Linked DNA regions of Neurospora crassa OR74A. The protein of the gene in region 1 interacts with the protein of each later gene in a biochemical or structural test. Links are inferred from orthologs where the notes say so. Each region holds a gene or a part of one and is shown in the gene's direction. Other genes may lie near its edges. The genes, in order: NCU01318 and NCU11181.

The links.
Region 2: the proteins of NCU01318 (region 1) and NCU11181 form a complex in vitro, tested with the Saccharomyces cerevisiae proteins (6 studies listed by BioGRID, with this or other methods). The link is inferred for Neurospora crassa OR74A from reciprocal best matches to the Saccharomyces cerevisiae genes SEC23 and SAR1.

Annotation. Positions count from the first base shown.
Region 1 is NC_026505.1:3,643,837-3,648,417, reverse strand, and holds the start of NCU01318 (protein transporter sec-23), read left to right. Parts: upstream 1-1,761; 5' UTR 1,762-2,078; intron 2,079-2,238; 5' UTR 2,239-2,441; coding exon 2,442-2,534; intron 2,535-2,600; coding exon 2,601-2,731; intron 2,732-2,787; coding exon 2,788-3,562; intron 3,563-3,624; coding exon 3,625-4,581. Other genes in the region: NCU01319 (hypothetical protein), read right to left, coding at 1-249, 307-387, 452-617. UniProt on the Saccharomyces cerevisiae protein: Component of the coat protein complex II (COPII) which promotes the formation of transport vesicles from the endoplasmic reticulum (ER).
Region 2 is NC_026503.1:3,651,414-3,655,591, reverse strand, and holds NCU11181 (Ras superfamily GTPase), read left to right. Parts: upstream 1-1,595; 5' UTR 1,596-2,062; coding exon 2,063-2,081; intron 2,082-2,297; coding exon 2,298-2,441; intron 2,442-2,652; coding exon 2,653-2,718; intron 2,719-2,824; coding exon 2,825-3,165; 3' UTR 3,166-3,585; downstream 3,586-4,178. Other genes in the region: NCU00382 (hypothetical protein), read left to right, coding at 1-560. UniProt on the Saccharomyces cerevisiae protein: Small GTPase component of the coat protein complex II (COPII) which promotes the formation of transport vesicles from the endoplasmic reticulum (ER).

The DNA of each region.
Region 1 (4,581 bases):
TCAGGTTTTGCCAGGTTCCGCCTCCTGTGCCATCTGGTTTGAATGACCATAGGCCTTGAGGCTGATCGGCGTTATCTCCAAAATTAGACTTGGTGCCGGCGAATCCCGTGTATAAGACACCATCCGTCTCATCTACCCAAAGCCCTCCGCCAGCGAGGTTGGCGGCACCGGGCGGTTTGGATGTTGAGTCGAACCGAACTGAATCACTTGTCCAGTCCTGGGACAAATCGATAGAAAGCAGGGAGTTCGCTACGGAAGAGTTAGGATATTCCATAGTTTCAAGAGTTAATGCGTGGAGAGTCTTACAGTATTGAAAGGTGATGTCAGTACCGCTGTAGTACGAGACCTCACCGCCGTCAATGTACACGCGCCCGTTTAAAACCGCGGCTTTGGTTCGATTAGCCAGATGGTCATGATGCACTGAGAAAAAGACAATGACGGCAATGCTCACACGATTGATAGCCTCTGCGCAGAAATGTCGAGGGACTGATAGCACCGTTAACCTGTCGTGGAAGGATGATTGATTCATCTGCCTTGGGTAGGGTGATAGTGCTACCCGCCTGGCAAATCCACGGCTGTATTACACAGCACAGAAGGGAAGTCGACCTCCTGACCATGATGACTGATTTCAGAGGGCAACAAGAGAGAGAAGAGAAGAATGGGAGAGGAGGAAGAAATTTCTGAGCAAAATGCTACGCGTGTCAGCTTTCTACCCACGAAAAGGGCTAGCTCCCCTGAAGCGCCATCGAGACATGGTGGTAGGTGATGATCCTATAGGATCCGACTGTAATTATAAACGAGGTCGGGAGAGGTGAGCCACGGTAATATCACCGTGGACTGTCAATGGTGCCTGTTGACTGCTACCTGGCGGCTGCTCGGCCCCTTTCGTATCTTAGCGTACCCAAGGGTTGCATCAAGTCAGCACTACAGTAGGAGATAAGGCTGATCCCTACTCGTCGAGTAACAAGTAAAAGTGAGCCTGCTCAGAACAGAGAGGGTGATCACCGGAGAGCGGGCGTTTGTGCGATGCAGCACAGCCGCGAGTTTACCATCTGCTGGCTTGACTGACTGAGCCTGCGAGCGAGCGAGTTGTTTGATTGAGTTCCCCCGCGACAGGCGGATTCTTCAGGATAACCCGACGGTAACACAAAAAGGTATTTTGGTCGTGCTCGACACAGTGGGCTGAAACAGGATGGGGCGAGCAGGGTACGGTTCTTGAAGAACACCAAATGCTGGCATGAGTGGTAGGATCGACACAAGACCGAGCATTAGGACAGAGATGCGAGCAGGCTAATCAGAGCTAGCCAAAACTCAACGGCCAGCCGGCCACAGGTCGGAATCATGACTGGAGCCCAAGGGTAACGGAATCAAAGCTTGACGTCTCCCGAGGCGTCGATGGTGAGGGCAAGCATACGATGCTGAATAGGTACCTATTCAATTTCCATGTCGAGATGTCGCGATTCGCCAATGTTGTTTTTCATTCATGATCCGACGCCGCGGGAACATCACTGCACCGGGAAAACACTTGGTACATCCGACAATTTCGTGCTGACGGAACAAAGGTTGCAACTTGCAGCTTGGAGATGCAGTTTACCACGGCGGCCGCGGTGGCACGGTGAGGTAAGTGGTGATTGGCGTCAGCTCGTCGGCTACGCACCAGCTGGCAAGCAGCCTCCCGTCGTCTGTCAGCAGAGCTGCCCCCTGCCTTTCGATGGAGGGGAACGAGGTACCTGTCCTTTTCAACAACTGGAGGGGAGCAAATGACAACAGAGCCGCAAATCAGAAATTGATACTATCGCCTGTTGCAGTCGGCTTCCATTGCAGTAGAAGCGATTGGGGTATTTCTGAACATTTTGATCCCATCACCTTGTCGCAAACGACTTGACCGATTGCAGAAGAGCAGCGCGTCGTTAACTCTGTGATCTTGCGCAGGGCTTCCTGGACGACAGTCAACACTTTAAAGTGGACCTTGAATTTTCAGGAGCGTCGAAAAAGAGGTTCTTCAGTTCAGTTGTTGCATCTTCCTGGCGACACACCACAACTGGGATCCCGTCCATACCTTATTGCCTCCCCCCGCGGTATGTACTCGCACGGAGCCCGCTTTTCCCCCTAGCTTCCACATCTAGCCTCAGGTCCCGCCTGCCGCAAGACAGCTGCTGTGGACTGTGTGGTGGACGGTGGATGTCTCGAGTGTCTCGTGCGTTCCAGGTCTCGGAGCTAATGACACCTTGCACGTAGCCGCCCGACGACGTTGCCCGTTGCCCGCCGCCCGCCCCGTACCTATCTCTGGAGCTACCACCGCGTAGACGACGGATCATCCACATTAATTCCCTTAATCTTCTAATCCAACAAACCGCCGACACCACCATCACCCCTCTCCAGCTGTTCCTCTCTATCCCCGACTGCGACCATCGACCGAGGACGCCGCCGCCGACATCAACATGGATTACGAAGCCCTCAAGGAGCAATGGGGCGAGGTCGAGGACCGTGATGGCGTTCGTCTGAGCTGGAATGTCTTCCCCAGCACCCGCATGGTCAGTTCCGCTCTTTCGCATACTTGCTACTTCGCGTCACCCCTTTATCGCTGACCCTTTCTTCAGGAAGCTTCGAGACTCGTCGTCCCCATCGGCGCCCTTTATACCCCTCTCAAGGAGAAGCCCGACACGCCTCTGCTGCAGTTCGACCCCGTCAGTTGCAAGCAGCCCTGCCGCTCCGTGTTAAACCCCTACTGGTGAGCCATCTTCGTCGCCCCGACTTGTCGCGCCCATTGCTGATACCCTCGCCCAGTCAAGTCGATGTGCGCGCCCGCCTGTGGATCTGCCCCTTCTGTCTCTCGAGGAATCCTCTCCCGCCACACTACAAGGACATCACCGCAAATGCGATTCCACCCGAGCTGCACCCTTCCAACACTACCATCGAGTACAGGCTCTCGCGGCCCGCCCCCGCCCCTCCGATCTTCCTCTATGTCGTCGATACGTGCCAGGAGGAGGACAGCTTGGCTGCTCTCAAGGAGTCGCTCATCATGAGCTTGAGCCTATTGCCCGAGCACGCCCTTGTCGGCCTGATTACATACGGCACCATGGCCCAGGTCCACGAGATTGGCTATACCGAGTGCCCTAAATCATATGTTTTCCGCGGTAACAAGGAGTACGCGGCCAAGCAGGTCCAGGAGATGCTTGGGCTCGTACAACCTGCCATGCGTCCGGGCATGCCTATGCAACAGCCTGGCAGGCCCTTCCCGGCCGGCCCTGCCTCAAGATTCTTGCTTCCGGTCTCTCAGGCCGAGTTCCAGTTGACCAAGGCCATTGAGCAGCTTCAGAAGGATCCCTGGCCTGTTGCCGGTAACCTCAGAGCCTTGCGCTGCACCGGTGTTGCGTTGTCCGTAGCTGTTGGCCTGCTCGAAACGTCGTTCCAGAATGCCGGTGGTCGCATTATGCTCTTTGCTGGTGGTCCGGCCACTGAGGGACCTGGCATGGTTGTTGGCCCCGAGCTGAGGGAACCGATCCGCTCCCATCACGATATCGACCGTGACAACATCAAGTATTACAAGAAGGCACTCAAGGTACGTTCATCTTCAAGTTGTGGTGCAGGAAACAGTCTGTGTCATGCTAACATTTATTATAGTTCTACGACAACCTCGCTAAGCGAACGGCGCACAACGGCCACACTATTGACATTTTTGCCGGCTGTCTTGATCAAGTTGGTCTACTTGAAATGAAGGGTCTGTGCAACTCGACGGGTGGCCACATGATTCTGACGGACAGCTTCACCTCATCCATGTTCAAGCAGTCATTCGTCCGCATTTTCGAAAAGGACGCGGATGACAATCTGCTCATGGGCTTCAATGCGGTTTTGGAAGTACTTACAACGAAGGAACTCAAGGTTACTGGGTTGATTGGTCATGCAGTCTCTCTCAACAAAAAATCGACGTCCGTCGGCGAAACCGAGTGCGGCATAGGTAACACTTGCACGTGGAAGATGTGCGGTATCGACCCCAGCTCCAGCTACGGTATCTACTTCGAAATCGCCAACCAAGGCGGCCCGTCCCAGAACATGCAGAGTCCCCAAAAGGGAATGATGCAGTTCTTGACTTATTACCAGCACTCGTCTGGCCACTTCCACCTTCGGGTGACCACCATTGCCCGAAACCTCAGCGGCCCCGCCGGAGACCCGGCCATCGCGCAGTCATTTGACCAGGAGGCAGCAGCCGTGCTTATGTCGCGTATCGCTGTTTTCAAGGCGGAGGTTGACGATGGGCCTGATGTGCTCCGGTGGGTTGACCGCATGCTCATCAGGCTCTGCGCCAGATTTGCCGATTACCGCAAGGACGACCCGTCATCGTTCCGCTTGGAAAAGAACTTCACGCTGTACCCACAGTTCATGTTCCACTTGCGTAGGAGTCAGTTCTTGCAAGTCTTTAACAACTCTCCCGATGAGACCGCATTCTATCGGCACGTTCTCAACCATGAGGATGTTAGTAACTCGCTCATCATGATTCAACCAACGCTCGACTCCTACACCTTCGACCAAGAAGGCGGTGTCCCCGTTCTGCTCGACTCTACCTCCATTCAGCCTACCCAC
Region 2 (4,178 bases), on another chromosome or scaffold:
GCATTGGTCGTGCAAAGAAGGCTCAGAACTCGCCTAGGCGCTGTCGCTCGCCTCCGCCCAAAAGGCGTCTTTCTCCCTGCCCCAAGAAGTCTCGCGGCCGTAATGATCGCAACCTGTTCGACCGCTCTTCTCCCCGCAGGATGAGATCACCTCCGCCTCCTGTTCTTTCCGCAAAGTCTCCCCTTGCTTCTCCTGTTACGGGAGCCGATGGCGTTGCGTTCAAGTCACTCGCATTCAGACCGGGCCTGACATTCACCAAGTCACTGCCCAAGGGTCCTGTCATGTTCCCTCACATCAACAAGCAGCAGCCTCGCAGATCCCGTGCTGGCACCACCACCCAAGACACTCACGTTCGGGGTGCCATTGACATTGTCAAGGGTTTGGAGGAGAAGCGCCAGAGGCGCAAAGAAAAGTATTATCAAAAGTATTGCACCCGGGCCCGCAAGGAGAAGGCTCAGCCCAAGAGACCTCCTCCAGGACAAGGTGCCGAGCGCATGCGCGAAGTTGGTCTAATAATGGCTGGCAAGATCGGCCAGGGCAACTATGTTCTTTCTTATTAAACTCACGGCGAGGGCCGTTTATCAGCATTCACATGGCGAATTATACCCTGGGTTACAACGGCAACTGGAGAGGCATTTTTTTGATGTTTACCACGTTTGGCGGCAGCGGCTTTCTCTCGTCCGGCATTCGGTATTTACATTTTCATCCCCCGGCTCATTGATTACACCTTTTGTACCACCCGTTTCATTATAATTGCATACTCGAAGTTGCAAGCAAGCATCGGGTCGGCTTCCTTTGGGCTGTGCCTGGGCGGACATGTTCTGTATGTTCTTGTTCTTTTCTTGTTAACGTTTTTGTACATATTCTTTTTTTTTCTGCCTGCGCTTGCTCTACTTTTTCCACTTTCTACGTGGCACGCTGCTTTTTACAGAGCGCTCGTGTACACAATCGGACTCTCTGTAGAGGCGGAGATACGGATTTGATGGCCGGGGGTAGATATACCCTGCAGAACCTGTCTTGGAGTTTGAGACCTCTGGAGACGACGGGAGGATGGGAAGGGGACGAGACGGATGGCAACGGATTGGCAATAATCCGTATCAGCGATTGTGAGCTGACATCTTGGTTTGGACATACACAACCAAGTGCTGGGGTTGGGAAGGAAACTCGTCTATACATAACTATAGATCCTCCTCCTACATACCTCAAACAAAGAAGTAAAATTTTCAAAACAAGCCAATGTGTTCCTTTGCTTCATTCAGTGAACCTATTTCTTCGATGAACGTCTGGGATTACAGGCGAGAGCAGTGACGGCGTCTTGACGGGAGATTTGTCGGACTGAGCGGGTGGCATCTGGAACCCTCCTTCTCCTGAATCTTGCATCAATGCCACCTGCATGGCTTCTTGATGCGGTTGCTACGGTCGCTTTGGCAGCTGCAGGCGGGCGTGCATGTGTGGTAGTTTACAGGTACTTATTTCCCGCTGTTTTCTTTTATTTTCTTCCTTTCTTTTGGGCGGTGACGGGCCTTTTGGGCGGTTGTGCCGGGGATTTTGCCCCTGAACGGGCCGTCTTGCTTCCCCCCCCCCCCCCCCCCCGACTGCCCCACGGGCATGCTCGCTCACTGCACCAAGCAAAAAAGGGGAGGAAAAAAGACAGGTCACGTGTGAATGCCTGAAATACCAGGCCAACAGTCACAAGACTATTGCAGGGGCCAGTCCAGCGCTGTCCTCGCCTGCCGTATCGTTCATGCCAGCAGTGCACTTCTGGGCTCGCGTGGGTCATTGAACCTTCTATGGACATCTTTCCTTGTAGCGTGTGCCCGACCGCCTTCGATCCGCCGCCGCCCCGTACACTTTTGTCATAGCTTCCAGCTGCTTTCGCATCGCAACATCCACGACGCCAGCAACGAAGCCTCATCAACACCCTCGCTACGATTTCGCCGGTCCCTCTTTGTGTGCCTAACACTTTACCGGCGCTTTGCACGACTACCTGTTCTTCTAGAACTCCTCGACTTTCCCGTATCATCGACAAAAGAGGTGTTTTCTAGATAATCATTTCGTCACCATGTGGTTGTGGTCTTGGTGTATGTTGTCGCATCCCTATCCCATCCGTCGCCCACGTTACCTACCCAAACTTCCCGTCATCCCTTCGTTCATCACTGTCGTGCACCATGGATATGGAAATGCATAGCATGAACATGCGGACTGCTGGGGATTTGGGAAGGGGTTGTTCATGATGATATTGGACGAACACGTCTGGAAACTCGCAAAGCTGACATGATGGCGCCACCAACAAACAGTCTACGATATCCTTTCCAACCTCGGCCTGCTCAACAAGCATGGCAAGCTGCTCTTCCTGGGTCTCGACAATGCCGGAAAGACCACTCTTCTACACATGTTGAAGAATGATCGCGTTGCCATTCTCCAACCTACTCTTCATCCGAGTCAGTTCAACCACCTGCAGCTGCCACCTGCCACTGTTTCTCCGTCAACGCCGGGACCTTGATACCCGAGCACCTTCCGCCTTCTCCCCCTTCGCCTCGACTCTTCCCGTCCCTACTCCCGTTCCTGGCTCCATACACCGAATCAGATATGCGCGCACATGTGAGGGCGAGATGTTTAGAGAATAATTATGGCTGACATGATTCGTTGTAGCTTCGGAGGAGCTTTCTGTCGGCAACGTCAAGTTCACCACTTTCGATCTTGGCGGTCATCAGCAGGGTGAGTGGATAATCATCTCCTATTTAGGGCTTATGTCAAATCCTCTCGGGACATTGACAAGCCGCTCTACTGCTGCGGTCTCGACTAACAAATGACGTATCTACAGCCCGTCGTCTTTGGAAGGATTACTTCCCCGAAGTAAACGGTATCGTTTTCCTCGTGGACGCCAAGGACCACGAGCGTCTCCCCGAGGCCAAGGCCGAGATCGACGCGCTCCTCTCGATGGAGGAGTTGGCCAAGGTTCCCTTCGTTGTGCTCGGCAACAAGATTGACCATCCCGAAGCCGTCTCTGAGGACGAGCTCAGGCAGAGACTCGGGCTCTGGCAAACGACCGGCAAGGGCAGGGTTCCTCTCGAGGGCATCCGCCCCATCGAGGTGTTTATGTGCTCTGTGGTTATGAGACAGGGATACGGAGAGGCTATCAGGTGGTTGTCCCAGTACGTTTAAGGGGTCTGATGAAATGCGGAGCAGCACAGGATGGTTGTCAGGTAATAACATTTTGTAATATGATACGATGATGACAATGAAGGAACTGGAGGGTCTCGCGATATCAAAAATTGACGGGCGTATTTTCACAATGAACAGATACGCACGAGGCTTATCAGACACAAATGGGACGTTGGAGGGACTAGTGTACGTTTGACCACTGCCGTTATCTGGCTCTAACGGTATAGGTTATCTTTTGCTCTCCGTCAGATTCCGGTACCTATAGCTTGTTCTATTCCCTTAGTAACACGGTGTCTACCTAGCCCGGCCCGAGTTTGAGCGGTCATTCTAGCAATCTGTAGAATCATTGTATGTACGGATGAACGTGAACATCTCCAACAAAGCCTAGTCTAGTTCTCGAATGACAAGGATTCGTTCCGGAGTGATTCCCCAGTAAGAACACGTGTATGCCATCATTTGTTGGGCTGGAACGCATGTGCAGAAGAGACACTACTAGTACGTAGCCCGGCAAGAGCCCCGTCCTCGGCTTCGCCCGCCCACTAAACATGTACACAGTACACTATTCCGGGCGAGGGTCGACCGACGTCATCCAACAATCTGCCACCCGACCCGCGCAACTCCAACGCTTCCGGCACCAGGACTGACATCAAGAACGATCAAGCACCGACCATTGCGCCAGCAACCAGCGTTGTATCCCGATCACCTTGAACAATTCTTTCCTTTGTAACCCCCTTATCGTCAAATCCCTCTTTCAGTCCGTGTCACCTTTCTGTCCAGCCATTCCCTGTGGCTTGTTTCAGGGTGGATCAGTCAGAAGATCAAAAAGCCAGAAGGCTTCGATCATCATCAGCTACATATACAGGACCAAGACGCCGAAGATTCCACTTCGCATGCTTCCCTGGCCATTAGCCGATATCATTTAGTGACGACGTCGACGATCCTTGAAGCATCTGCCAAGCGTTTACTGTGCTTGGATTCCTGTCCCTTTTTCCCTACAGTTCGCAATCTCGTTT